Mus musculus: one gene and its partners. The protein of the gene in region 3 binds, or shares a complex with, the protein of the main gene of each other region. Each region holds a gene or a part of one and is shown on either strand. Other genes may lie near its edges. The genes, in order: Suds3, Sap25 and Sin3a. A codon is read from its position in the direction of its gene.

Evidence for each region.
Region 1: the proteins of Sin3a (region 3) and Suds3 are in contact, whole or in part, in an NMR structure (PDB 2N2H), measured with the Mus musculus proteins. Residues at the interface, in NP_001103821.1 of Mus musculus: Glu616, Glu619, Leu620, Val623, Arg672, Ile673, Tyr674, Ala675, Lys677, Asp680, Ile681, Ile691, Ala692, Ile695, Val696, Arg699, Met702, Lys703, Glu706, Trp707, Glu709, Ala710, Phe714; in NP_848737.3 of Mus musculus: Ala205, Leu207, Asn208, Tyr209, Leu210, Leu211, Gln215, Ile216, Glu218, Asp219, Leu220, Thr222, Leu223, Leu226.
Region 2: the proteins of Sin3a (region 3) and Sap25 are in contact, whole or in part, in an NMR structure (PDB 2RMS), measured with the Mus musculus proteins. Residues at the interface, in NP_001103821.1 of Mus musculus: Leu121, Lys122, Val123, Ala126, Leu127, Leu130, Tyr144, Phe147, Leu148, Met151, Lys152, Phe154, Lys155, Thr161, Val164, Phe182, Phe185, Leu186, Pro187; in NP_001075431.2 of Mus musculus: Ala208 (codon at 4,799), Glu209 (codon at 4,802), Ile211 (codon at 4,808), Ala212 (codon at 4,811), Leu213 (codon at 4,814), Ala214 (codon at 4,817), Gly215 (codon at 4,820), Leu216 (codon at 4,823), Leu217 (codon at 4,826), Gln218 (codon at 4,829), Met219 (codon at 4,832), Ser220 (codon at 4,835), Glu223 (codon at 4,844).

Annotation. Positions count from the first base shown.
Region 1 is NC_000071.6:117,099,903-117,109,648, forward strand, and holds part of Suds3 (sin3 histone deacetylase corepressor complex component SDS3), read right to left. Parts: intron 8,518-9,746; coding exon 8,446-8,517; intron 6,764-8,445; coding exon 6,744-6,763; intron 5,410-6,743; coding exon 5,253-5,409; intron 794-5,252; coding exon 698-793; intron 1-697.
Region 2 is NC_000071.6:137,637,824-137,647,499, forward strand, and holds Sap25 (histone deacetylase complex subunit SAP25), read left to right. Parts: upstream 1-3,649; 5' UTR 3,650-3,812; coding exon 3,813-3,993; intron 3,994-4,086; coding exon 4,087-4,190; intron 4,191-4,272; coding exon 4,273-4,411; intron 4,412-4,517; coding exon 4,518-4,615; intron 4,616-4,699; coding exon 4,700-4,963; 3' UTR 4,964-5,079; downstream 5,080-9,676. Other genes in the region: Lrch4 (leucine-rich repeat and calponin homology domain-containing protein 4), read left to right, coding at 82-143, 243-359, 470-538, 616-719, 832-915, 1,299-1,375, 1,527-1,664, 1,755-1,832 and 1 more; Irs3 (insulin receptor substrate 3), read right to left, coding at 5,864-6,921, 7,268-7,697. UniProt on the Homo sapiens protein: Involved in the transcriptional repression mediated by the mSIN3A but not the N-CoR corepressor complex.
Region 3 is NC_000075.6:57,107,321-57,117,066, reverse strand, and holds part of Sin3a (paired amphipathic helix protein Sin3a), read right to left. Parts: intron 9,714-9,746; coding exon 9,475-9,713; intron 8,360-9,474; coding exon 8,176-8,359; intron 6,489-8,175; coding exon 5,915-6,488; intron 3,522-5,914; coding exon 3,352-3,521; intron 1-3,351. UniProt on the Homo sapiens protein: Acts as a transcriptional repressor. Corepressor for REST. Interacts with MXI1 to repress MYC responsive genes and antagonize MYC oncogenic activities. Also interacts with MXD1-MAX heterodimers to repress transcription by tethering SIN3A to DNA.

The DNA of each region.
Region 1 (9,746 bases), on a different chromosome or scaffold from region 3:
CACGCTGTGAAGGGGAGAGGCCTGGAGCAGCACCCTCTGCTGGTTGCACAGTACAGCCCACGCTGGGCAAACTGCTACACTAAATCTCCCAAAGAGAGTGCTCCACGTTGGCCCACTGGCCACGTCCGTGGCTATATAGCATCTTCCATGAACACCGGACCTACTTGTGGTACAGTTCACGACCCACTAGTGTAAAGGCAGGTGACCGGTAGACTACGCATGGCAGTACACAACCTACCAGTGTAGAGAGAAGCATACAACTGGTACACTACAGCAGTCCACAACCCAGAAGCAGATAACTGGTGGGCCAGGGCAGTCTGCAGCCCAGTACTGTAGTCAGATAACCGGTGGGCTAGGGCAGTCTGCAGCCCAAGAGGCAGAGGTGGGTACCTGGGACCACAGCAGGCAGTGCTGCCCTCAATTTACACATTTCACTGTAAGCTGCTTAAAGGGAGTGTAAGAACAAGGCTGTTTCCAAAAGAGCACCTTTCTAAGTAACCATTTTCTGGAAACCTCTCCAACGAAAAGCAATAGTTGACTCCAGTGCTGTCTGGAGTCAACCCCACCTGTAGGTAAGTATCTCACATATGCTTTCCCGACCTGGACTGCCGCTGGCTCGTGAGACTGTGACCCTGCATACACTACTACACACACTAAGCATAGGAGTTCATGACTCAAGCTTGGTACAAATGGATATCAGGAGCCGGTTTTCTCCTCTTGTCTGGAATGGGGACAGGATCGTTTGGTCGCCTCCGCAATTTTCTGGTCATGATGGGTTTCACTTCCATAGAATCTGTGGCAAGAATGGAAGGGGTGAGTCTATCCACCTGTCCCTGGAGCCAGCAGGGGTCCCTGCAGCATCAGAACATCCATCCCACAGACATCCCACTGCAGCTATGTGACCAAGCACACTTAGTCTATGCATGAGCCCAGCCACACTCCCGTGGCAGGCTGCAAGCCCTGTGCTTACCGGAGTCAGCCAGCTGAGCACCCAGTCACAGGCTAGGAGACTGAAAAGAGCCTGGGATCAGGCAGGTACCTCATGTCTGCTGCTCCCACAGAGGCTGCGTGCTGAAGACCATGGACATAGAAAGCCCTTTTTCAAGGCCACTGACCCCAGCCAAGGTTTGTATATGAAGTCTTTGCTTACACACTCCCAGTTTTCTTCTATATAACCCTTTGTAGCTACCAGAGGGCAAGACCGATACAGCAGATGGGGAACAGGGCCGCCTTTCACTCTGGACTTCTCTGGGGCTTTAGAGGACGGACTCCACACAGGGAAATGTCTCCTCCCCAGAAGCAGCCACTCAGATCTGCTCTCCCCAGGGGGATGGGCTGGCGTGGCACCTGAGTCTGAACCTGCTAAAACTAGCAAGAGCTTCAAACAACAGCTTCCTAGGAGTCTGGTCAGTGAGCCCGAGAGTTCAACTAGGGCAAGCACAAAATCAAACTCCCAGGTCTGAAGCCCAGACCCTGGAGTGTGACAACTGGAGAAGACATCTGGGCAGGACACGCCTCAGTCATGTAACCTCCAAACAGTTAACTGCCTTGCATTAGAAGCCTCCCTGGCTTCTGTGAGACAGGCACTACCTGGAGTTGCACGGGGCCTGCTGCCTCACTCACTTCCTGCCCCTCCCCAGGGGCAGTTCCAGCTTCCCTTTAGCGAATGTTAACCATAAAGCAAGCTCGCCCATCTCCCTCCTAAGCAGAATCTAAGGGAGTGAGCTAACCCCAAAGCAGAGGCAGGAACCCTGGCTGAGCAGAGGCTGGGAGACAGAGGTCACTATGAGGTTCCATCCTGATGAGGGGAGAGCCCACCGTCCTCTTGCACAGCGCTGACTATAGTTAACTAGGTAGGTAACATTGAGCATTTCAGGACAGTCTCTGGATCCTGAGATTGTCAGTGTTTCCACTAGGAAACGGCGGCTAAAGTGGGGAGACGTATCAGTTGGTGAGGGATGCGACCTAGCGGTAGAGCACTTGCCTGGCATCATGAGGCCCTGGGTTCTACCCCCAGTTCTTGAGATGAAGAACTTACTATTTGTTTAGCGACTTGGGTAAAATAACAACAATGATTTGAAGCACACACTTCATTTGAGGCTTGCAGCAGACAGAGTGCGCGAGACAGGGCCCCACAGGACACACAGCCTCATCCATCTCCAGCAGACTAGCAGGCTCACCCATGCTGTCACACGTCACAGCAGCAGGGGTGAGCACATGGAGAGGGGGCAGGGAATGAAGTCTGCATCAGGTGTTTGGAGGGCAAAGCATGCTTGGAACAAAGGGACCAAGCTCCAAGACACCCAGGTCGCCCCGGGCAAAGGGCTGACATTGAGATGGAGCCCACCCGCCCCAGGTCAGGTCACCACATCACCCCCTACCTCACCCCCCACAGATCTTTCTATGCATCTTTCCCTGACTCCTAAAGCCCCTTCCACTGGAGCATCAGGCACTGCCCGATACAGCCACACTACAACGAGCCTGTCTCATCTTTACCTCTCCTTCCTTAAACCTGGAAGGTCTGGGAACTCCCCAATACTGTCTCCAGCCAGCAACCCGACCTCCCCAACTCAGTGGAGTGGAAGGAGCCAGTCTAATGCAATTAGAACAGACTGGCTTCGGTACTAGCTAGGTTTTTTGGGACTATAGGGACTTGGGGCAAGAGGCTGACTTCTGAGTCCATTCTGCCAATTTCAAACCTGGAAAATGACACCCAAATCCAGCAAAACTGTGCAAGTGAATGGCCTGCTAGGTGCCAGGCATCTGTTCTGTGCCAGCCGACCCTCCAGACTCCCCACTCCCCCTCACCGGGCAAGACAAGGCCCCTCAGGAAGAGGCCTGTGAGCCTGCTGAGGCGCCTGACACAGGAGATACCCATGAGATTTTTACCTCAACTATGGCTGCTCACAGGGCCAGCTACACAGCCAATACTTCCTAAAGCAACTCTGTGGGTTGTACTGAGGTCATGAGTAGCATCCAACAAGGGCTGGAGGGTTAGTGGACACCCTAGTGAGCAAATGTCAGGAAACAACACGAGCCAAGCGGCAACCAACTGGCCTTCCAGTCAGAGGAAAGGCAGACTGAAAGTGACCAGGCCTGGGCTACAGAGAGGGCTCAGACAGAGGACCCTGGTTCAGTTCCCAGCTCCTCCTCAGTCAGCTCAGGACCACCCATGATGCTGGCTCTAAAGCATCTGTGGCTCTGGGACTGCAAACACGTGGCATAAGCATGTGCATGCACAAGGGCACACACACACGTGCGCGCACACATGTATGTACGCACGCACGTACACACACAAAGATAAATCCGAAGAATAAAAATGGTAACACCTCTGATGCCTTAAAGGGCCTGGGACCTGTCTGGTTATCAATCTGGGTCACTTATAACCCTGGCCTCAACATCAAAGGCTCAACAGAGAGTGGCCCAACAGCCCACGGGCAGGCCCTGGGGGTGTTCCCTGGCACAGCGCCCCCCCAACACCCAAGTCTGCAGGAGGCAGCTAGCCCAGCAGCTCCACTTGCAGCTCAGCACACAGCGACTGCATGGAAAGCTAGCCCTAGTGTGCCCAGTGCCCGGGAGGCTGAGGAGACCGAGGACCTCCTGCTACTCCCCGGGGTCCCAGGTCATAAGTGCTGGACAGAGCAGATGGCCCAGAACACCTGCTTCCTTCTTACGGCCTCCCTTGCTGGCCTCTCCTTAACTTTCTAAGAGAAATCTCGAGGTTGAAAAGGCCATTTTAAGACATGGCTTCTGTGGACGGAGCTGGAAGCGGTCGCCTTGTTTCCGTCCATCCAACAGCACCATCTGTGGAAGGCCATTATCCTTCCAGCTTCAGTGCCTCCCACCCGCCTGCCCTTCGCTGCCAGTGCGCTCCACGCCAAGGTGCCAAATGGCTTGAGGAAGGACGTCAGTACCTTTCTACCCGTGGATGGCTTTAAATGCTTCGCTATCTGCTTTACTGCATTACAGATGAGTTCCCTGTCTTTATTTGTCTTTTCTGCCTCCTGCCTCAGTTCAGAAGCTGGCTATAAAACCACCTGGCCAAGGCCTGATGCTTGTCAGTAACTAGGACACCAAAGCACACATAAGGTGAGCGTGTCCTTCTCTGCAGATGGGGGGGGGGGGGGGGCAGGAGCAGCTATAACCGGTGGGATTTCCAACTAGCCTAATGGCAGCTCTTGAATAGCTGGAGGCTCCCGAAGAGTGATGAGGCCTCAATGCCAGTCACAACCACCATCAAGAAAACTGTATGTGGCTCAGAACGGGTGGGGGGACTGGTACCTGACTGCAGAACCAGCGCTGACAGGTAAACAGGTGTCCTGAAGGCGCTACCCCAACACCCACCTCATGTTCAGAGCTGCACTCATGCCTTCTGACAAGCCCTCAGCTGGTTTTCAAAAATCTCACTCCCCTACTCCACCCCCGCCAGACCCGGCCTCACTGATTCAAAGTCAGCTCCAAGGTTTCTGTGAAAACCCAGATGTCCTATAGAGCCCTGCTAGAATCAGCTGTCCCAGAGCAACGGGACCTTCTGGACAGATGATGAAGACTACGATTCGGGGTGTGTGGAAGAACACGCCACCCGTGAAGCCATGTGGCAAACCCAGTGCTGACTTGTAATGAAGACCCTGCCAAGTTCGGAAACGGCTGGTTCTGCCAGTACTATCCTGTGATTCACCAGCCTGCAGACGGCATCAGGAGAGTCGGGCCTGCTGCTCCCCACAGACCTGTCTGTAACCTGCTGAACTCCCTGGACAGCAGATCTCAGCTGCTAGGGAGGAACCAGACACTCAAAATACTATCGATCAATGGATCGATTGGGATCAAGGGAATCGCTCTGGCTCTGAGCCTCACAGCACCGCCTGGGGGAAGAGAGCCCCCAACTACCTCCCTCATGACATCAGAGGACAACATCCTTTTCTGACTGTAATGACAGAAGCAATCTTCAGGTGGTCCTGGTAAGAAACTCAAATGTAAGACACAAACAGCAGCTGACCAGGAGCCAGTGAGGCACAGTCTGAGTGTGCAATTGATTGCTTCCTGCACACAGCCTGCACGTGTCCTGCCTGTCACATGACACCCCAGGCACTAAGTCAGGAGATAAAGCAGGATCTAGCCCCTCCACAGGAGGAAGCTAAGCGGCCGGCCTCAAGCCCCCAGTTGCTGCGGGGTGGGTCGGGAAGCCAGCTCTCCAGCACGCCCGCGGGCATGAGAGGAGTGCCGTGACAGCTCGCAGGGACCGGCTTCTGTACCTCCAGTCAGCTCCATGGTGAGTTTCTCGTTCTCGATCATCTTCTTCTTCTCCTCCAGCTCGGCAATCAGGTTCTCCTTCAGCTCCACCTTCTTGTCTTCAAACTCCTTCACGGCCGCCTTCTTCTCTTTAATGTAATTCCTCTCCACCTGTTCCGTCTGAGAAGAGACGCAGCTGAGGCGGGCGGCCATGAGCACCAGCCCGGGGCCAGCTCTGACCTCAGGAGCAGAGAAAGCCTGAGACTTCATTTCACCCACACTGACCCATGGGACCAGGGGTCTTAGGGACAATCCCAACAGGTCCCCAAACCCAGCCATATAACAGCATTTGCTTCCAAGGCACTGTACTGTTCCCCTGCCCGCCCCTCTCCCCCACGAGTCTTCGGAGGCTTTAACATCAAACAGAACTCGAGTCTCAGAGAGTGGGGGGGAGAGAGAGGAGAGAGAGAGAACGCTAGGGGTTGTTCCTTTGGGAAGGACACAATTTCAAGTGAAAACAACCCATGCCAGGTGAAGTTTCTGCATTCAAAATTAATTACGGGATACTAAAGCCAGACAGCTGGCTATTATGTTTGCTCTGTAAGAACAAAAGCAACTACAGACCATTCATTAGGCGCCTGAGCGCTCGAGTACTCAAGTATCAAAATTAAGCTATTAATAAAATAAAGAACTGCCTAGAAGCCCCCTTGTGACATCTCTCCGCCACCCTGGGTGCTGGCTGCGGGCTGTGTGACTGAGGCATACGCTCTGCCAGGCCACGGCTGCATGTGCCAAACTAATTTTAGTAAAATCGCCTGCCAGTTAACTTGAATCTGACAAACCAAAAAGCACCTCTTATGTCCCACTGGGACCAAGGGCAGCCTATCATTCAAGAGCCAGGCCCTTGTCTCAGCACCATAGCACCGAACTGTCATTGACATGAAAGGAAATGTTGACTCCATCTTGACCCACAACCCATGAAGCCCAAACACAAGGCAGATCTGTGGAGCCAACTCAGAGACTGGGCTATGGGAACCAGTAGCAAAGCAGCAGGCTTAGTCTGGAGACAAACGGTCATAACGTGAGGTAAAGGTCAATGAACAGACGGTGGGCTAGAGAGGTGGGTTAGCAGGGAGCTCCCTGCTCCTCCACAGGACCCACGTCTGATCCCAGTGTCCACATATGGGATGGCTCTCAACTGCCAGTAATTCTAGCTTCAGGGGACCCAGAACCGTCTTCGGGCCTCCAGAGGTACACACATACATAAATTCCATTTTAAATTAAAGAACAAGAAAGATAGCGAGGGGCAGCATCTTAACCCAGCGTGGTCGGGAGGGACTGCAGAACACTCCTGGGTGGATGGAAGGTCTAAGCAGTCATTAAGCATCCCTAACCAAACGAGCTGTGGTGGCGTTCCCAAACCGTCCACTTGCTAACAACAGAAGGCAAGGCCAGGGAACCAAGAGTCAGACTCTCCTGGGAGCCTACGAACGCAGAGGATGCTGGGTACTTACTTCCAGCTGGAGGAAGAGCTCTGAAAGAGAGAAAAGAACAGTTAAGACTCGCCAGTTGCCATCTTCCTAGATAGGGGTATTGGGATTCACTGAGGGGCTCGGGCAGGTCTACCTCACCATCCTGACAAGATGCTCTCACTCAGGCCCACCCAGTAGGACAGACAGCACAGTGAGTCACAAAGCAGCCACCTTAGAGGCAGAGTCCACATGGAGACTTTCTAAGTGGGGCAGATACATGACAAGGCAGGACCTCTCTAGAAACCCCAGAGGATGAGGGGCTGGGCTCAGCTGGGATTTAACTCTCGTCATTCTCTCAAACTCCAGATCCAAGGCGGCCCCCTTCCTGAGGCCTCCCCTGACAGAACCAAAGCCATCAAGGTCTACTCTTAAGCTTCCTCAGTGCCTACTGTGTGCCAGCAACGACTGTTTACCTACGTGACGGCTAGTCTTGGTGGTCAACTTGCCTACATCTGGAATTAACTAAAACCCAAGTGACTGGGTACACTGTGAGGGATTTTTCTTTGAAGTCGTTTGAAGTGGGAAGACCCACCTTTGATCCGGATCTTCTGAGTTGGGAAGATCCACCTTTAACCTGGACCATAACTTTTGGTGGCAGCCTCTATAAAGGACATGGAAGAAGGAAGCTTGTTCTCTTTGCCTGCTTGCCCTCGCTCTCACTGGCTAGTCCATTCCTTCACTGGCACTAGAGCCTGTTTCTTCCAGAGTCCAGTGCATGTATAAGACCAGCTGAGACAGCCGGCCTGAAACTCTCAGATTTTCCGGTGAGACACAGCCACTAATGGACAAACTGGAGCACAGCCCTGAGGCCACTCTCACAACCTTATGTGTATACACAGGCTCACTCTATCTGTTCTCTTCCTAGAGACAGGATGCTGTCAGCTCTGGTAAAGACAGCAATTGTGGCAAAATGTACCTGGGATTTCCTGTCTCTCTAGGTGAGCGTGGGCCTACTATTGCTCCACAAGTACCATGAGCAGACCAGAAACTTCTGGTTTGTGGGCTCTTCTGCAAACCTCAAATTCTAACCACCCATTTGCTCTGCAAACACATCCACCCATAACCCCACAGAGCCTTCAGACTTGCAGAATTCAGACTAAGAGCCCAGACTTTATGTCTGATGAAAAGCATCCGCAGCAGGCAAGCCCCTGTCCCAGAAGCTAAAGTCACTCTAGCCCGGGGAACTGTGGGCCAGGAAGCCTGCTGCATGGTTCCTTAACTCCCGGCACCCCTTAACTTTATGTAGATCAGTACCTTTGGCCAATGAAATGTTGAGTTTCCGAAAGCCACAGACAATATGCTAGTGACATCACATTGCTCAAAGCACCAATGTGCACAAATGCTTGGGCACCCTGAACAAACGCTGGCTGCGTACAGCAGACAACAGACCAGCAGCATTCCAGCCACTATGTGCCTGAAATGCATAGAGGCCAACACAGCCACGCCCCTCATCTCTGGCACAGACAAGCTACTCAAGGTGTGATGACTTCAGCCTCCTCCACCAAGGGGACAAGAGTGAGGAGCCGCCCAGACACCCTGACTCCTGGAGGACAAAGCACAGCTTTCTGTGATGGCAACCTTGGCTCACCCCTCCCCTGCCCTTTCTCCCAGTGGAAGGTTCGAGTGTGTTTTGGGCTTGCATTCTATCAGCATGGAGGGGTTGGGCCTGAGCTGGCGCACTGACCTGCATTCCGGATCCGCTCTCGGTACTGCTGGTCCAGTTTCTTCATCCGTTTCTGATATTCCTGGAGCGTACCTGACGGGGCAGGCATGGGCATAGTGACTCGGGGAGTCAGCCTGCTTTGCACACTGAGTCACACTCTAGCACTGGAGCCGCCTAGAGAGCTGTACCAGGGAGGAGCCACACAGTAGACAGCACCAGACCGTGTGGAGCTTCCCCCTCCCGCCGGACCTCCCCCAGGGCCTGAGAGCAAGTAGTCAGGCAAGGGGACCAGGTGACACTGAGCACCAGGCCCTATGGTCTAAGACAATGTCCTCACTCTCGTGGGGAAGGCTCTTCCTCTTGCAGTGAGATCTAGGTCAAAACTATCCAGGAGAGCTTTGTGTGGTGGTAGAAAACTCTGCCTCTGCAATTGCAATACAGTGGCCAAGTGGGGGCTACACTGGCACTGAAAATTAATCAATAGCGGCGAGGAACCAGATCACTTATTCAATGTGACTCAGTCGTATGGCTCATGGCCATCAGACGGTGCAGGTACAGATCCCAACACCCCTACTTGCTCATCCGCCCCAAGGCAGCTGTCGTGAGCCCGCATCTGTAGGACGGCCCTGTTAGCCCATTGGCTGGCGGAGGACCGGAGGACCAGGGCCCAGGAGCGCATCTCCCGGTCAGGAGGCACCGATGATGAAGCAGTTACACTGACAGGGACCCTGAGACCCTAAGACCTGCTGCAGAGCCAGCAGCTGCCCCATCAGACTCCAGACCCTTCTCCCTTCACTTTGAAGATGAAGCAAGAGGCAGGACATGCCCTGAAGTCACATTCCTTAGAGAACGGTGACATTGTGTTGCAAGATCTTGGAGAGCTGGCTCTCGTCTCAGCTGCCAAGACTTTAGCAGCCGCCATGGAGAGAGACTGCTGTGGTGAAGCTCGGGCTTGGCCCAAGGAGAACTTGAATCCTTTGAGAACGACACCCGTCTCTCAATGTTTCTTCCATTTGTGTGCATGTGCGGGTGCGTGTCTGGAGGTCAGAGGACATCGTCTGGAGTCCTCCCCTCCCATCATGTGAACTGTGGGCACCACACTCAGGCCATGAAGCATGGTGTCAGGCTCCTTTACTCACTGAGCCATCTTGCTGACCCTCAACAGCCTCTTAAAAAGACAAAGTCTATCTTAGGCATGGTGGTCTCCATGCCCCAGGGAAACGTCAAGAGTGTGTTCCACACTTCATGAAGACAGTGAAATATCAAAGTCAGGAACTCACTCTTTGATAAGAGACAGCAGACCATGTACAGATGACTCAAAC
Region 2 (9,676 bases), on a different chromosome or scaffold from region 3:
TGGGCAGGTAGAGAGGCACTGATGGGGAGATCAGTGTAAATGGGGCCAGGCCTCTCTTCAGCTCTGCTGTCCTCTCTTCAGGAGCAGCTGCCTTCTGAATTAAGCCTTGTAGCAGGGGATGTGGAGAAGCCATCTAGCAGCAGGTATTCCGACCCCCAAGCCCACTCTTCTCCCTCCTACTCAACAGCCTGGGCACCTCCCCTTCACCTGACAAAGGTCCCTCTTGTCCTGTCTTCTGCCAGGCGAGAGGAGCCTGCAGGGGAGGAGAGGCGGCGCCCAGACACTTTGCAGTTGTGGCAGGAACGGGAGCGGAAGCAACAGCAACAGAGTGGGGGATGGGGGTCCCCCAGGAAGGACAGGTAAGGAAGGGCTCAGGGCCTGGCAGGGACAGATGCAAATGCCTCTCAGACTTCGGTTCTACAGAATTCCAGGCCTGACTGCCCAGCTTTTTCCTCTTCTGCTTCTCCAGCGTCCTGAAGCGGGGGATCCGAGCTGCCGGGGCAGGTGCTTCGGCCCCATCCACACAGGCCACCTGCAAGTAGGTGTCCTCCGAGACCCACCTCCCTAGGCCTTCCTCGTAGCTGGCCTTCTCTGAGACCCTTCTTTTTTCCTCAGTGGCCCACCAAAGTCCAGCACTACCCAACTGGGAGTTTCAGGGGGGCAGGGAGCTCCCACACCACCCCCCACCTCCCAGGACCCCCTTCCTGTATCTGGACCAGGTAGGACATCGCCTTTAGGTGATGGCTTGGAGATGGTTGGGACATAGAGGCCTGAAGGAAGAATGGGCTACTGAGGGGTGTCTCTGTTGCCTATCCCTGGCTCTCCCCCCAGTGACAGCTCCTGTTCCCAGGCCCCTGGGCTCCATTCAGAGACCAAACAGCTTCCTCTTCCGGTCCTCTTCTCAGAGTGGCTCTAGTAAGTCTTTCTCTTCCTGGCACTAACCTTGGGACTCGTATCTCTCTCTCTCTCTCTCTCTCTCTCTCTCTCTCTCTCTCTTTTTTTTAGTTTTTTCCAGACAGGGTTTCTGTGTATATCCCTGGCTGTCCTGGAACTCACTCTGTAGACCAGGCTGGCCTCAAACTCAGAAATCTGCCTGCCTCTGGCTCCCAAGTTCTGGGTTTAAAGGCGTGCGCTACCACTGCCTGGCAGGACTCTTATCTCTTGAGGCTTGTGTCTCTTAGGGTGTTGTCCCTGTTCATGGAAAATCCCGTAGGCTTGAATCTGTATTGGTATCAGACTGTTGGAAACAGGCTCCAAAATTTATCTATGAAGCAGAGCTATACTCCTTTTCCTCCTAGGTCCTTCCTCTCCAGAGTCTGTTTTGAGACCTCGGCCGTTTCCTCAGGAGAAGGAGCTAATATCCCAACTTCGCCAGGTGAGCAAAGTGATATTCACGGAGGCCTGGCCCAGCCTGGCGTCTCCTTCCCCTCTCCTTCCTCAGCCCACAACTCCTGTTATCGAGGAGGGGAAGGGATGGAGGGAGTGACCTTGCTGACCCCAGCTGCTGCTTCTGTCTCTGCTTCCAGGTCCTAGAGTCGCGGCTGCAGCAGCCCCTACCTGAGGACCTGGCAGAAGCTCTCGCCAACGGAGTCCTCCTTTGCCAGCTGGCGAACCAGCTGCGGCCCCGCTCTGTACCCTTCATTCATGTGCCCTCACCTGCTGTGGTCAGTGGGAGCCCAAAAGGAAGAAGAGGGGAAGGGACGTGACTGTGGCTTTGCCTTTCCAAATTTCTTCCCTTTCTCCTCTGTCTCCAGCCAAAGCTCAGTGCTCTCAAGTCTCGGAAGAATGTCGAGAGTTTCCTAGAAGCCTGTCGGAAAATGGGTGTGCCTGAGGTATGGGGCTGCACTCTGCTCTGGAGCATGTTGGTGTCTAGGGCTCAGCTGAAACTGCATGAGGGGCGGAGTTCCATCCACTGGGGTGTTCGCTCCTACAGGAAGCATGTGTCCTGGTCCCACCCCTTAGATCTCCTGCCCTGCTCTCCCTCCCTGTCCTGCATGTCCTGCATGTCGGTAATGGCTCTGGCTGTTGTCCTGGTTTGTGAGGGCAGGGTGGGAAGGCCCGTGGCTTGATGTTGCTAACTTCTGTGATTTGTCCTTGTCCATCTGCCCTGTCCTCCCTCCCCAGGCTGACCTGTGCTCGCCCTCGGATCTCCTCCGGGGCACCGCCCAGGGGCTGCAGACCGTCCTGGAGGCTGTGATCCTGGTTGGGGGCAAGGCCCCTCTCCCAGTCCAGCCCTCCTCTGGTCTGGGTGGCTTCCTCCTCTTCTACGTGGTCTTCATGCTGCTGCTCTATGTCGTCTACACTCGGCTCCTGGGCTCCTAGGACCCACGTTGCCCCTTCCTTCCCCACCTTCTATTTATAAGACCTCCTGTTCAACCGGTGGTGCCTTCAGCCCTACCAAAGACACTAGTGTCCCCTCACCAACGCTGACCTCAGAAGCCCCACTCTCATACCCACAATACCCTTACCCTTAGTGCTGATGGTGCCTTCGTGTTCTCCCGGCCAGCCCTCTGTCCCCCGTCGGATGACAGGACTGTGGCTTTTCTCTTCTGTCCTCCCTCCCCCTACCAGCTGCTATGGGGGAGCTAAATTATCTCTGTTTTGTAGAGAGAACTATTAGCAGGGGATGTGAGCCCAGTATGGGCCCCTGGCTCTGTGTATAAACTGTATAGATTGTCACCTCTGTGTGTGCGTGTGTGAGCTCCTGCTGCAGCCAGGTCTTGTCCTGCCTGGGCTACCTGCCTGTGCAAGCCTTTCCCTTTGGAAATGACAGGCCTCTCCTGTCCCAGTCCCCTGTGTTAACCACCCGTCTGTTACCTGCTGGCAGCTTCTATGTGTCATTTGTCCCCAGGTATGGGGCAGTGTCTACCAGGAGTTCCCACCCTCTTAACCTTGCTGGGGGAATTCGAGGGGGAAACCTAACCTGGGCCCCTCCCCCCAGGAGTCCCTGTGCCAGCCCCACCACATCCTGGAAGAGGAAGGGGCCCCTGGAAGGGGCCTCCCTCACATCGCTGCTGTCCTTCACGCACTTCTGGAACAGCCTTAGGGGTAGAGGTTGGGGGCTCTGGGCCCCAACTACCATCGGACCTGTCCTGGGAGCAGATGACACCTGGGCCCAGCCAATTAACAAGGACTTGGTGACCATGGTCTTGTGTGTAGCACTGGCCTTGGATATCCCCCTGCCCTTAGGCTGCTTCGGGTACAGCCCCCATCTGGGTGAAGAGCGTTGTGTCAAACACAATAAAAAGAAGCCCAAAGGCCTGTAGGTTGGTCCTCAGGTGTGTGCCTGCCTGTCCATGAATGCGCGAGCTTTTTGGGGACCTGAGTCCTCTACTGTGAGTCCCAGTGTAGACTGCTATATTTCTGTGCCTGGCAGAGGAGCTTTACCGGCACAAGTGCCCCGTGCCTCTGCCGCCAGGGGGAGCCCTTGAGAACCTGGTGGGAGCGTGCCACGTGGCTGAAGAAACGCTGGCGCAGGCGTCGTGGCGACACCTCTGAGGTGGGCTAGGACTTGGGCGCTCATGTAGTCAGGGCCGCGCGCAAGTGCAAGCACGGCGGTGGGTATTGCCTGGTGCTTCACCAGTCGCAGGATGTTGCCTTGGCTTGGGCCATGGGCCACAGGCCAGGAGGAGGCGACCGAGGGGCTAGGCCTCCCCACCGGCACTGGTCACGGAGAGGCCTTGAGCTCTGGAGAGGAAACCATGAAGGAGCAAGAAACGCCTGTGCAGGACAGGTGAGGGCTTGGTGGGGGCCACTAGGAGGCGTTGTGGGCGCTTTCCAAAACTGAAAATCTACGAGATCGGGACTGGGAAATGGGTATATTGTTGGTCCTGCGACTAACTCAGGTCAGCATTAGGAAGGGAGGTGAGTGGGGAAGCCTGCCCTTCCCTTCACACAGCTCACAGCCCCAGGCCCTCAGCCCATCTGAGCCAGGAAGAAAGCAGCTGCCGCCTTCCAGGCACCTGGCTACTGAGCCGACTGCAGAAGCCCCAGGTAGGCACCAGGTCGGCACCAGGTCGTGCTGTTTTTACCCACAAGGCCCCAGAGAGTCCGAGCCTGTTCTAATCTCGTCTCTCTCGTTCACAGTACGTCTTTCTCCCCGGGTGACCTCCCAGGTCACCCCCTCAAGGATGTCTCCACTGCCACTTCGGGATCCCAGCCACCAGGCTAATGCAGGACCTCGGCTGGTGGTGAGCTGGGGGGTTTGTGACTGTGTCTCCAGGTAGCAGGGGTGCCAAGAGAGGTGGAACTCTGACTTCCTGTTCTCCACAGGAGCCCAGCTGTGGGCCAGGGGTATCTTTGTCTAACAGGACACTGTGCCATCCTTCCTGGCCGATGTATGATAACTGGGGCAGGAGCCCAACCACCTCAGAACGCCCAGAGGAAGAGCAGGTGGTGTCTAAGGATACAGGTACTGATCTTGGCCCCACAGCTCAGTTGTGAAGTTGCCAGGGAAGCTGCACTGAGGGCTGGGGAGGAAGGCCAAGGCCACCAAGCTAGCAGGCTCTCTCCTTCAGGGGTCCCGGTGAGAAACTATGAAGATGTCTTTCTCTTGGATCCTCTGCTACCATGTGGGCAGCGTGTTCCCCTAATCCTGACCAAGCCCCCTCAGCAGGTAAGAGTGAGCCTCCCTCCATTCTCTTCTCCCTTTCTCCATTCAAAGCCGGGAGGACAAGCTTCCCTTTTTTTGTCTTCTCAGGCAATGGACTCCAGGAAGCTGCTGCTCCCACCGCCCATCATGTCGCCCTCTGTGCATCCGTCCTCATCCCAGGCCTGCTCCTCCACCTGGCTCAGCGAGGCAGAGATGATCGCCCTTGCTGGTCTGCTGCAGATGAGCCAGGGAGAGCAGACACCCAACTGCGTGGCAAGCTCTCTGCCTTCCACCAGCTGCCCAGACCCTGTCTCTGTCTCTGAAGACCCAGGTCCCAGTGGTGACCAGAGCTGTTCTGGGACTGACACATGAACCACATAGTACCCCAATAACCACAGTCCATAGTGTACCCTGCCCCCCACTCCTCCACGGGTGCTTTCTTCTCCCCCAAGCTGTTTTGTTGACAATAAATCAGAGTTTGCAAACCAGGCTGTCTGCAGTGGGACATGGGCTGCGGATCAGGCTGGGTCCCATTATACCATTTTCTCTTCCTCCAGGCCTCCTTACTCATTGGTCACACACTGCATGGGGTGGGGAGATCCATTGAGCAAGACAGTCAGGGAGAAGGGCACCTTTAATGGGTGGGTTGGGCTGCACTCTGGGAAGTGAGGAACTCGTTTGTGTCTGCTGGGCCCAGAGAAAGGTCAGGTGAGGACTGGCTGCTTGGGGAGCACTGGCTGCTTGAGGAGCACCGTCATGATCCCTGATGCTCCTCCCATTGTTTCTGAGCCTTAGGAATTCCGCTCTGGCTTGAAAAAAAACAGGGTTAGGATAATGTTTTGGCTGAGGAGACACAATGACATCTAGCTGCCAACATGTGAGGGGACAGAGCTGTCCCAAACCAGGATGAGAGTCTTCATCCAGGCTTGGGCCACAGCTAGCCTGAGACTGATTCTGTGGGCATTCATCTGAGAAGGGTTTTATTTGTTTGTTGCTTGGATTGCGAGTGGGGGGAGGGCTGGCAGGGCAGAGAGAAGTTCTAGTGTTTTCTCTGAAGAGTCTGGTTCCTCGAGCATGGCTTCCTGAGGGCTTCCTAGGTGGTACAGCTGGAAGGAACAGAGCAGGCAAGGGGGCAGCAGAGCAGCTCATGGTGGCCTCAGGGTTCCTGGGTCCTGTGTGCAGGAGCTGAGCTGAACAGTACTAAGGTCTCTTCTTTTCCTCTCTTCCCTGACCAATGCCTGGGTCTCCTCACCTGACTACCTCCCAAAAGTTCTAGAACTTGATGCTGGCATAGCTATGTGGACTCTTCCCTGGGGCTGCTCCAGGAACCTCCAGGGGAGGGACCAGGTCCAGGTCCACATAGTTGAGGCAGCTGTCCAGAGACCCCAGCCTAGCACTGTCCGTTCCTACATAGTCGGGGATGGACATGTAGTCCCCAGAGAGCTCTGACCCTTGGGAAGAGCGGGGCTGAGCCACTGTGGGTCTCCATCTGTCTCTAAGGCTACAATGGGCACCCGGATGCCCAAGTTCAGACTCCCTGGCCTTGAGCTCGTAGTAAAAAGGCCCAGGTAAAAATCTATTCATGGGCACATACTCTGTGCTCTCACAATCCTCGAGCTGCTTATTAGGATCTGCCCTGGCAGGGGTGGGAGGAAGGCCTGGGGGCGCCATCCACATATAGTCACCTGCTTCTCCTCCCCCCATGTGGACATAGTCATTCCTGACTCCCATGGTGATGTAGTTCCCGCCCAGATCTAGTCCCTTGTAGGAGTGTGTTGACCCCATCCTTTCCAGGGGCTTGAAGTAGTCCTGCTTTGCTCGCTCACTGGGGCTTCTTGCTTGTGCTGCCGATGCAGGGATTTCATATGGTGTCGGGGTAGGAGCTGCAGGAACACTCTTTGGAGGATTTCCCTGTGGCGGTGGCTCAGCTTTGCCAGCTGCATTGCTCCCCAGCCGCTTCATGGCAGCCAGGACTGTCTCATGAATGCTTTGGGCCACCACTGCATCAGGAGCCTGCAGCCAGAGCTCACCAGGACCAATGGGCGCTGAGCGCCCGAGTTCCAGGAAGAAAAAAGAGTCTGCGTGGCCACAGCGGCGCACACTGAGCAAGGACAAGCGCAGGACTGGTGGTGGCGTTGCCCGGCTGTCTCTGGAACCTTTGCTTCCAGGCTTTCGCAGGAGGCTCAGGGCCCCAGAACCCAGGCACAGGCGATAGCTGCCGCTGCTCAGGCCTTGTGCTCTCCCCAGCCCCTTGGACCGCAGTGTCACAGGCCAGACGTCCTGGAATGGGGCGAAGATCCAAGACTCAGGGGCCTCTTGGGGACTGAAACCTGGAGAGAATTGGCAAGTCACCGGGAGGCAGGGGTTGGGGTCACCGGGTCCCAGGTGACCAAGACGTTTTATACGTCTTTTTTTTTTTTTTTTTTTTAGCTTAAGATTTGAACCTCAGGCCGGGCGTGGTGGCGCACACCTTTAATTCCAGCACTTGGGAGGCGAATTTCTGAGTTCGAGGCCAGCCTGGTCTACAGAGTGAGTTCCAGGACAGCCAGGGCTACACAGAGAAACCCTGTCTCGAAAATAAAAAAGATTTAAACCTCAGTTGATCTGAGGGAAATGGGTTCAAGATAAACTAAGTCGGCAACCCCCTGACCTCCCCGTCGCTCACCCAAGGCTCACCCATAGCAGTAGCAGCAGCGGCTGCGGCGGTGGCGCGCACCTCGAGCAGGGCGCTGTACCATGCTTGCTGCTCTGCTTCGCTGGCCGCCGCCACGCCCAGGCTGCTGTCGCTGGTATAGATGACGATCAGGTGGCGCTGACGGGCATCCGCGCGCTTGCTAATAGTGCAGGCACCCTCCAGGCTAACGGTACGCCGGGGTCTAGGTGGGCGGCAGCCGCTGGCCAAGAACTTCTTCTCGCTCTCGTAGCACTCCAGGCGTGGTGGGTCAGCGCGCAGCACGAAAAAGCGGCGGCGCTGGGACTTCTGCTTCCTCAGATGGCCACAGAGCCGCACGTCGGGCAGGCAGGGCCAAGGAAACGGTGAGCCGAGGGACACGTCGGTGCACTCGCCCCCGGAGGAGACTGTGGGGCCCGTACCTGCAGGCTTCATTTCCAGCCAAAGACAGTAAACTGTCCCCAGAAGGACTGATTTGAATGGGTCTGGCCCCCTGAGCTACCACCCGCTTGGAACAAGTAGCCCTGGGAAACTGCAGCCGGCCTAGCTGCCCTGCATCTCTCCACGCCCTCTCCTGACTTGGAGTGAACAAGGAGCCTGTACACAGGAGTGCGTGTGTCCCAGTGGCCAGTGACACCAGGACTCCTAGGTCTAAGGGAGGCTGACCTAGCTGGGTCAGCCTCCTTGTTGGAATCTCCACCCCTTCAAGTTAACCCTCCCACGCCCGAGTGCAGGAATTTGAGTTTAGGATTCATAGGCTAGAGTAGGAGCCCTGCACCGCTGGGACCAAACTTTCACAGGGGCGGGGAGTGAGGGGGGGCATCTCTACCAATCAGCTGACTGGATGTGGGGGTGGAGGAGTACCGCCAGAGGCAGCCCGGGGCAATCTCGAAAGCCAGAAAGCCAGGGTGCAGAAGAAGCGGCTGTGGTTAGCAGTGATGGCACTAGTAATTAGAAGAGTGGCCTGGCCTAGCGGGCCATCCTGATAGCGGCAGTTCTCCAGGGAGGAGCCTCCGAACTGAGCCTCTAGTTGTATAGGTCCTCAGTGTTCTTTCCTTTCCTACCCAGAGATGATCTTTGTGTCTTTGCTTCTGAGCTATCTGAGTTTGGGTTGATGGATACCCCAGGATAGGAAAACCAAACTAGATTGGTCTCTGGTAACCAACCGCACCCCCACCCTCTCCAGATTCCCACGCATGCAAATGTCCACTGAAGGATGTGTGAAAGAGGACTTAGTCTCTCAGAGACACCTTCCTCAAAGTGCCCCTGACCACCAGCCAAATGCCAACTTGAACCTGATGGTGGCTGTGGTCACAGGAGCTGGGATCCTGTGGCAGACGTCCTGGTGAGCCCGTGTATCCTGAGAGGTTTGGGTGGGGCTGGAGATCATAGGCCACAAATGCACATGCTTATTGGAGGCTGGAAGACAACCTCTCGTATTCCTCAAGAGCGATCCCTCTTGTTTTTGAGACAGGCTCACTAGAACTTGTCTAGTAGGTTCGATTTGCAGGCCTGGAAGGCCTCAGGCCTATCATATGTCTGACTCCACTTCCCCTGCCTGAGGTTACAGTGCATGCTACCACACCCAGCTTGGAAAATAGTACGTGTGTTGTACAGGCTGTCCCCTGCATGTGGTCAGAGGTCAGCTTTTGGAAGTGGGTCCTCACCTTCTACCTTTTTTTGTTTGTTTGTTTTTGTTTTTTCGAGACAGGGTTTCTCTGTATCGCCCTGGCTGTCCTGGAACTCACTTTGTAGACCAGGCTGGCCTCGAACTCAGAAATCCGCCTGCCTCTGCCCCCCAAGTGCTGGGATCAAAGGCGTGCACCACCATGCCCGGCTAGCCTTCCACCTTTTTGAAGCAGGGACTCTCTCTGCTGCCGCACTGTGTACCCCAGGCATTTAAAGATAGTAGTGGCCATTATTTTTTTAGGCAGGGTTTCTCTGTAGCTCTGGCTGTCCTGGGACTCAGAGAGCTGCCTGCCTCTGCCTTCCGAGTCGTGTCCTGTTGTAGTCTTCTAGCTTGCTCTAGAAGTGCTGGGGTTGTGATGGACTGGGATTCTACTTTCCATGTGGGTTCTGATGATCAAATTGGGGCCATTGGATCTGCACAGCAAGCACGTTTCTAATTAGACTACGTCCCCAGCCCCTTGGATATTTTGTTTCTCTACATTAGGGTCACATGGGGGTGGGGAGTGGTGTGACACATTCTGACAAAGCTTAGTTGACAAGTCATGGTACCTTAGCAGACCTGCCAATGCCCTAATGTCGTGGCCAGCAAAATCCATGTGGGGAAAGATAACGGTATACAGAGAAGAAAAGGCCAAGCCCTGAGACCCTGGTAGGGGACTTGGGGGAGGGGCTCCCTTAGGTAAGGGACCCATGTAACAGGTAAACAGAACCAAGACAACCTGGGT
Region 3 (9,746 bases):
TTTTGAGACTTGGAGTTAAGACAGGTATCTCAAAGAATTCTGAAAACAAGATTCATCTGATTTTATTTTTAAATAAATATTTGTTATTTTTCTTTATGTGCTTTGTGTGTAAGCTTGTGGTGTGTCAGCTATATTATGCCTGGTGCCCATAGACAGAGGCTGGAAGAAAACACTGGTTTCCCTGGAACTGGAGTTACAGGAGGACATGGACGTCCACGTGGGTGCTGACAAGAACTACAAGTGCTTTTAGCTGCTGAGCTACTTGCTAGGCTCAATCTAGGATTCCTAAACTTAAAAGTTGCAGCAGACACCAGGTATGATGGCCCACACTTTAATCCCAGCATAGGCAGGCAATCACTGAGCTCAATACTGGTCTGGTCTACATAGTGAGTTCCAGGACACCCAGGCCTATGTATAGACCCTGTCTCAAAAACAAAAAAGCAACTGGTGCAGCGTCACCTGCCCCCATGAATTCAACTAAAGAGCAGACCAAGCCTCAAGGTCAAGCTCCTGCACCAAGGTAGCGTCCTCACTAGCAGGCCACTAATTAGTGCATTCACACAGAATAACCCTCAAATTGTACATGTTAACTCTATTTTTTTTCCAAGACTGAGTTATATGAAACCCAGGACTATGTAAAGTTATATCCTTGGCCTAACTGCTCATTTTTCATAGAAGGTAAACGTGTTGGAAACTGTGAACCTGTTTTGTTGTTGAGGGGAGGAGACAAGGCTTAGCAGAGACTCAGTGCCTTATATTAACTCTACAAAGGCTGCTGGGACCAGCTCAGGCCACAACAAATGCCACAGTGGGTAACATCCATTCCCACTCTACTATTCTTATTGTGAAATTAAAAGTCCCCTAAGAAATGGCGCAGAGGGTAAAACTGTCAACTTCAGTTTAGCCCTGAAATTCACGCAGTGGCAGGAGAGCCCACTCTCGTAAGTTATTCTCCGATTTCCACATACACATACAGCAAAACAAGAAAACCTTTAAAGTCAGGAAATGAGGCTTGCCTAGCAAGCACAAAGTCTTACATTCAGTGCCTAACACCAAACCAACTGGTCCCTAAAAAGCAGAGAAGCAAAAATGTAAATTTCAATACTGACTCATCAATTTTACTTAGTTAATCTCATGTTATCATGGTTACTACGCCATTCTATTTTTTAGGAAGATACAGTCTTTGTGAAGTATAAAAGACTTGGACAATACCATTGAAGTAAGGAATGTTATGACTTGATAAAGACAGTGAAAGCGTCACAGAGTTTTAAGTGGGGGAGAAGAGTGAGAAAAGTCAGTCTAGCCAAGACATGAGTTCTCTCCGTGTGACTATGTACCACTGACCCTCTATTCACATCCTCTTTTAGGTATCTGCCTCTCTCAGAATCTTTAGAAATGGAAGCATTACAAATCCAGAGACAACGATGGGGTATGTACAGCCATACATTAAGTATTTCATCAGGTAACCAGAAATGATGTAGGGATGATTTTTCCAAGATTTTTGTTGTTGCTGTTAAAGAGAAGCACCGCATGGGAAAGCTAGGTAATACCAAGCCCAGAGGTGCTCAAGTCTCGAGGGATGGAGAGGCCGGAAGTGTATGCTGATATGCTGAGTGTCCACGTGCAGAGAAGCACTAGAGTGGAGAAGCCTGGGACGAAGGGAAGCGTTCCTAGTCAAGGCTTCACAGGATGACATTGTATCATGGTTCTGTAGCTAAGATGACTGAGCCTGCCTACTTAGAATTCTTGGTTTGGAGAGATCTTATGTATGGGGAACTGCCCTTGAACTCCCTATGTAGCCGCGGATGGCCTTCACATTTTGTTCCTCTGGCTTCTTCCTCCAAACGCTGAGGTGAGTAGTGCCACACCCATTTTATGGGGTACAGAAAATCCAACCCAGGGCTTTGTCATGCTTGGCAATTAACTCTACCAATTGAGCTAAATAAAGCCCCAGCCTGAGAAAATTAAGACGAATATATGGCCTGACCTTGATATTTGTTCAACCAAAGGGACCACCAAATAAAAAGAAAACATAATCAGACAAAACTCACTGAAGAGTTCAAATGAAAAGCTTAAACATGTCTTAAAAACTCATGGTTGTGGGTTCTGGAGGCAACTCCCATTTCCAGTTCTTAAAAATATGTTGACAGCGTTAACATAAATTTATAACCAGATTCTTCTAAATAAATGAATTATCTATTTAAAAATAACATAGGGTTTATGAAACATTTATTTTACTGGCTTTTCCTACTCCTCAGTAGGGAGGCCAACAATGCCGCCACAGAAACCCCGAGACAAGGATGCTCCCTGTCAGAAGGATGACAGTTAGAAAGTATCACATTGGCTGGGCGTTGTAGTTCACACCTATAATCTCAGTACTCAGGAAGTACACAGGATTAGTTCTCAGTCAGACAGTACAACATAGTGAGATCCTGTTACAAACAACTCCACATATTTAAAATTTCCAGGAACAAAACATAAAAGCAACCACAAATCTAACACTGAGTCTCAGATAATGAGGTGGGCAGAGCACTGTACAGGACTTTTAATACTAAATGAGGCAAATAAACAGAATCACTGTCATCTATGGAAAAGGCTAAGCTACACCTATGCTTTCTTCTTGGATAAATAAAGAGGTAGGACTGTGTTCTAGACAAATGGCTGTTAGGACAGGCTCTGAGGAGGGGCACATTGAGAACCTAAGAACCAATTCCAGGGCTGGAAGAGTCCAGTTCTGTGAGCTGGAGAGAGACTTATTGAGCTATCCTCTCTGAGCAGTAACACCAGACTCATAAAGTAAACAAAATGTACAAGGTTCAGGAAATAAAGGAAATAGAAAATTCAGAAATCCCCTGAAATTTAAATTAGAAACCATCTCCACACCCATCCCCACCAAGGATGAACTTGAATTTCTGATCCTCTTCTAAAAGGAGAAACAATTTCTGGGGAAAGTACTCTCTCCCATAGGTCAAGCTGCCCTCTGGCTGTGCAGGAGCTTCAAAGACTCAGGTTTTGTGTACAGTGGGCTTTTCACTGCACTGCCTTTGGGTTGCTCATGTTCCTTAAGTGACCCCAACACACATAATGGCTCACTAAGACTTAACTAGAATCATTTCTTTGGTTTGCTGTCAGTGTATCAAAGGGATGTTTGTTATTGTCTCTGAAGGAGAAGCCACACAAGACTTCATGTTAACTTGGTCCTTTCCACTTCAAAGACATATGTTTATAAACACTGCTATATATATGGTTAAGCTGCTTTTCCTTTTCCCATAGAAATCTTGCTTTTCCTTTGTGACTTTTAGCTGAGAACACCTTCCCTTGGTAGCGCTAACCTCCAACACACCCTCTCACCTGTCTGACGATGCTCTGGATTAATTTGTCCATAGTAAAGGCAATGTAGGCATGAATGGTGAACATCTCTCTCAGTGAATCTTCATACTGTGATGAGTCTATGTTGCCATCAAGCAGGCTCCGCACCATGTCCAGGAAAGCTGGGTAATAATCTTCTACATCAACATCCACTACAGGAAAGATTAGACAGGTAAGACTGTACTCTGCTAAGACAAGCTCGAGGACAGAGAATACAGAATCCCACAGCTGGCCTATATACCATCTGAAAGGACAAAATACCAGATATGCAAAAACATGTCCAACTTAACCCACTACAGAGATGACATCTAGTAGGCAGCTATAATCACCAGAACTGTCCATCGAAGAACCAACAGTGACTCTGCAACTTCTAACAGTCGCTTCCAGCACAGACTGACTGCTAAAAAGACACTTTGAGCACTGCTGAGTTCTGTCACCTGAGAGCAAAATATCCCAAGAGAGTCCTTCAAGTTGCTGGCTCCTTCACTTACACAAAACCATTTCACAAAGGGGACAGTTGCTCATGAGTGTACCTCAATGAAGAATAAAGTATGGACAAGAGAAGACAGGCATAGGTAGATGCTACCACACTTGGAACTCTTGGCTACAGAAGTTATTCAAATTAACCCCTCTATGAAAATGAATAACTCTGATTGTATCACAGTCCCTTTGCTTAAAATAGATTTGCAACACTGAACTCCAGTAATTACATTAGATGAATTGTATTTGTTGCACATGAAACATTTAACCAGTAGCTGGAGTGAATCTTACTAGTAAAAGGACATAGTAACTAAGAAGGGCACCAGGAGCTCATGTATGTATGTATGTACATATGTATGTACGTATGTATGTATGTACATAATCCCAGGGGCAAGGGGATTGCTGGGCCAGCCTAGGCCACAAAACAAGTTCTGGGACAGTGAGCATTTTATAGCAGTAGACCCACTCTCAAATACAAAAAAAACTCATTTCTAAGTCTGAAAACCAAAATAGTAGAACAAAGAAGTTACTGGGGCTTGGCTTTATTTTCTTGACCTCTTTTTTTGACTAAAGTATGCTCATTATAGAAAAATTTAGAGCCATAAAATTCTATTTGTGGGGCAGGAGATACGGTTCAGTGGATAAGAGCCCCTGCCCCAGCACTCATGTGAAAGCCTGGCTGTCACCACCTGTCACCTTAGCACTGTGAAGGTCAGCAGAGAGGAGGATCTCTAGGGGGCTCAGTGAGACGCTGTCTCGAGAAGGAAGGTACATAACACAGTGGCCATAGCCTTTTCTAGCCTCCTTGCACATAAGGCACATGCACCCCACACAAATGCAGATTCTCATTTGTGTTCCTTTTTGCATACAGGTTGCACATCAATAAAAATTTGATCAAAAATGTTAACTACAAAAAGTACACTTACTGATTACTGGCCATCCATTAGTAAGGAGAAATTAGAAAGGGGACAAATGGGGTGGATCTTACAGGCAAAAACGAACAATCACTGCTTAAAACAAGTTACTGGTTTGAGTTGTGTCACACTACATCACTTTGTCTAAGCCCAGGAAGCAGGGAGCTAGCCTTTAAAATATACTAGGATAAGAGTCCAAACCACAGATTTATAGCCACAAACTATGACTGGCATGAAGTTGGCACTATCACTCAAGAATAAGCTGCTTCAGCATAAGTCCAGGATAAGACAGTGATCAAGCCCAGATTTATATTTGTAAATTCTACTTGTTTCTTCCAAGCTAGGACTAAAACAGATAAAGGCTTTTCAAACAGATTCCTGGTGCTATTAGTTCAACAGATAAGAAACTAGGTTTATACACAGGACTCCTACAGCAGTTATTTACTATTTCGTGAAGAGCAAAGAAGGGAAGCCTGTGAGGATGTGTCTGGCTCACAGGTTAAGCACCCAACTTCAGAATGAAAGCATTATGTGGAAGGAGGCGGCAGAACCCAGCATACAGCCAATGATAGCTAGCTTCTTAAATGAGCCTCTGGGCTTCCTTTCCCTTGAATCCTGTCTATCCCTTTGCCTTGTCTCAAACCATCTTGAGTGCCAATTCCTCTTCAGAAATATCAGGAATGAACCAAGAAGCCCATTAAGGAGATGCTAACACACATCTGAAAAGATTCCTTATGTGCCATAAGCATAACAAGGAATTTCTATGTTATGAATAGAAAGAACTGTGACGTTTCTTTCTCATCTGAACCACTGCTCACTAACCTAGCCAATGGATCCCACGTCCCTCATGTGTCCACAGTGCAAACTAAACACCTCACATGACCATGAACCGGATACTGTACAAGGTTCCATGCTTGCATCTTTCTTAAGCCCTCAAGCAACCACAGAAAGTGACAAATACTGCCTCCATTTTTTTTTTTTTGGGGGGGGGGTTTCATTCATGGGTTCAAGGAAGGTTACACAACCAGCTAAGTTGCAGAGGTAGGATACGAACCCTAGTTCCAATCTAAGGACTAAGTGTACTTCAAGGTAAGGTGGCCTTGAAGCCAGCCATCTACCCCATGCATAAAGCTGACAGTCTAAGCACTCACTAGGTTCCTTGAGACGTAGTTGTATGGCAGGACTATCACTCTTGTCTCGCTTTATGCCTAGCACCTCCCGTTCCCATTCTCTCTCTCGGTTTTCTTCTTCAATTTGCCGTTCAGCTTGGGAACAAATCCGTAGCAGCCTCAAGCAGAGAATTTGATGCAGTCGCATAAAGATATACCAATTGTTATTGACATAGAAAAGGTTATATACTTCATCCATCCCTCTTAACTTTTGAGCTGCTGTGTTACTAAATAGCAACTTGGACTTAGGGGGGCTGCCCCCAACACCATTGTGCTTCTTAGGTGCTCCTGTTGCTTCATCCACATCCATTTCTTCCTCCTCCTCTTCTTCCACATCTGAGAGATCGCCTCTCTGAGCAAACAGCAGGTCAGGAATGAAATGGTGCATGATTTGCTTGATTTTGTATTTGTCCTCTTTCTGAATGCCTGTTTGCCTCTTCACATGGTGGATAATCAGAGCAGCAGCATCTTCTAGTATCTGTTTGTCTTCATAGGCAAGAGAGAGGTGCGGGCCAACAGGTACACCAGCGTTCTCTTCTGTAGCCTGCTCTTGCCTCTGATGGAACAGACATAAAAGCATTGTGTGACATGTATACAGCAACAACAAACCTACAATACTATACCAGAAATGCTGAGCAGTGGTGGGAAATGCCTTTAAACTTAGTACCCAGGAGGCAGAGGCCAGCAGATCCATGAGTTCAAGGCCAACCTGGTCTACAGAGCAAGTTCCATGACAGGAAGGGATACATAGAAATACCCTGTCTCAAAACAAACAAAGAGTACATTAGCAGCACATTTTTATTATTAACCAAAATGCACTTTAGGCACTGTGGCACCTATCTGTAGTTACATCCTTTGGGAGAATAAGCCAGGAAGGGTACAAGATTCTAGGCCAGTTTGGGCTTAGACAGAGACATGACAGTGGCTACTTAATCTGAAATACAAGAGTTAACCTTAATAATGTTTGTCTCTCTTCCAAATATTCATAAGTACTATGGACAAATTGGCTTGATATAAAAAGATTAGTGCCTTCTATATATTGAAGACTTAAGAGAATTACCTTTAAAATTCCAGATTTAGCACTTAAAATACTGGGGTAGAATTTCTCATGTAAGCTAGAGAAAGTACCCAAGGAGCTAAAGGGATCTGCAACCCTATAGGCGGAACAACATTATGAACTAACCAGTACCCCGGAGCTCTTGACTATAGCTGCATATGTATCAAAAGATGGCCTAGTCGGCCATCACTGGAAAGAGAGGCCCATTGGACTTGCAAACTTTATATGCCCCAGTACAGGGGAACGCCAGGGCCAAAAAGTGGGAGTGGGAGGGAGGGTATGGGGGACTTTTGGGATAGCATTGGAAATGTAAATGAGGAAAATACCTAATAAAAAGTATTAAAAAAAAAAAAAGAATTTCTCATGTAAAGGTTAACAAATTATCAAAGATAAACAATTAAGTGTTTGTTAAAGTTCACTTACTATTTTTATTCTTTAAAACTCAGGGCCAGCTTTTGAAAGCCTGATAGATGTCACTTATGCTTCCTACCTCCTAAGGCAGGTCACAAAAAGCAAGACCAATTTCACATTTATCTCTGAGTCTTTGCTCCAAGTGCCATCCATACCCCTGCTAAGTGAGCAGAATAACAGGGTTACTACCACTTTTTAAGTGAGGTAGAGGAGATGCCAGGTCTTGTTAGAAGAGTGTACATTGGGCTCCCAATGGAGGAGCTAGAGAAAGTAGCCAAGGAGCTAAAGGGATCTGCAACCCTATAGGTGGATCAACATTATGAACTAACCAGTACCCCGGAGCTCTTGACTCTAGCTGCATATATATCAAAAGATGGCCTAGTCAGCCATCACTGGAAAGAGAGGCCCATTGGACTTGCAAACTTTATATGCCCCAGTACAGGGGAACACCAGGGCCAAAAAGGGGGAGTGGGTGGGCAGGGGAGTGGGGGTGGGTGGATATGGGGGACTTTTGGTATAGCATTGGAAATGTAAATGAGCTAAATACCTAATAAAAAATGGAAAAAAAAAAAAAAAAAAAAAAAGAAGAGTGTACATTAAAGGCAGAATGGTAAACTGGGAAACCAGAGGAAGAACTGAGTGAATCGGTGAGTAGTAGGTTTAAGACGGTAGACCATGATACAAGAACTGGCAGTTCTTAGTTAACTGTAGAAGTCAAAGCAAGGCTGAACACAAAAAAGCAGAGCTGAGGGAGCTGTACGGTCAGCCAGCTCACCTCGTCATAGATGCTCTCGATCTCATTGAGTAAGCTCTTAGACCTCAAGACCTTAGTGTCGTTCTGCTTGAAGTTGATGCCTTGGTGATCCAGAGACTTCAAGTAGTACTTCTCATTTTGCTCTCGCCAGACCTTGTTGAAGCCTCTCTGAGCTTCTCGCCACTCTTCTTCTTTCATCTTCAACCTAGCAGGTGAGAAGGGATACAAGTACAGCATGTGGGAATCGAGAGGGTTAAATGCGGGAGTGTGTCGCGGGCTTACTACACTTGATGAAAACTCAGACCTATGCTGTTGGTGCTTCAAAAAATGTCCTTGGTGTTATCCAAGTGAGGTTTTTTTCTTAAGGGAGCTTATTTTTGTGATACAAGTCTTACTGGAAAATGTATATAGACCACACTAATCTAAAAATCTATGGCAATCTGCCTTCTACTTCCCCAATCCTGACATTATAGGCAAAGAAGTCAAATTTGGCTGCCATGAATATTCACAAAGTGAGTGGTATCACCAATGGGGTTTTTAAGAGGGAGCATGAAACCATTTTTGAGACAAGACCTTATTTGAAAATTTGGATGACTTAAAATTCATGATGTAGACCAAGCTACTATCAAACTTACAGCAATCTTCCTGAGTCTGCCTCCCTAATGTGAGGACTATAGGCATGAACCACATCTGGTTTTGGGGAGTATTCTCAAAAAACTAGTTCTCCCAACTAACTAAAGCAACTTGCTTCTTTGTTATGACTCAGAATCTTTACTGTGCTCATGGAAACGCAAGTTTCCTAGAGAGGGCATGTGGTGAGGGAGGAAGATTGCAGGTTTGAACTCATTCTGAGCCATCACATACACACACCATACACACCCCGACACATACACACATCACAGTCCCTCAAACGCCTGCGGTCTGGGGTAGGGTAAAGTATTTCCCTATCAAGCATAGTATACAAACAGTCCTAAGTTCCCTTCTACCAACAGAAACAAAGCCCAACCCTGAAATGTGAACGCACTACACTCTACCATACACTCATCAGGCTTTCTCTGTGTGAACTCAGGACTCATGCATGATAGGCAAGCACTCGACCACCGAGCTGCACCTCAAGTCTTTCACCCTCACCTGTCAACATCTGTTCCATTTGTTCCACAAAACCCCTAACGTATGTTCTGCCATTCTACTCTATCCCTAGTGTTGAGCTACTGAGGAAAGAACTGAAATTCCAATTAGATACTCAGGTAGAAAACTAGAGCCCTATTTAATGGGACACTGAACCTGTCACACAGCACACAAAAGCCAGAAGATACATACCTTTTAAGGACAATCGGAACAGCAATGGAGGGGTTCTTCCTCAGGCCATCGATGATATCAGCTGCTTTGTCAGCATATATCCTCTGGAGTGCTTTTCGATGGATGACTTCGGACGTGCCTCCAAGGGTGTTATCCAAGCGAAATTTGGCTTGTTCCTCAGCAGACAAGCGAGAAAGTTTTTTCTGTATTGCTTCTAAAACCCGGATTGTTGCAAGATTGGTCTCAAGAACCACATCAAGCTTAAAACAAAAGAACAAAGAGGGTCTCAGGCC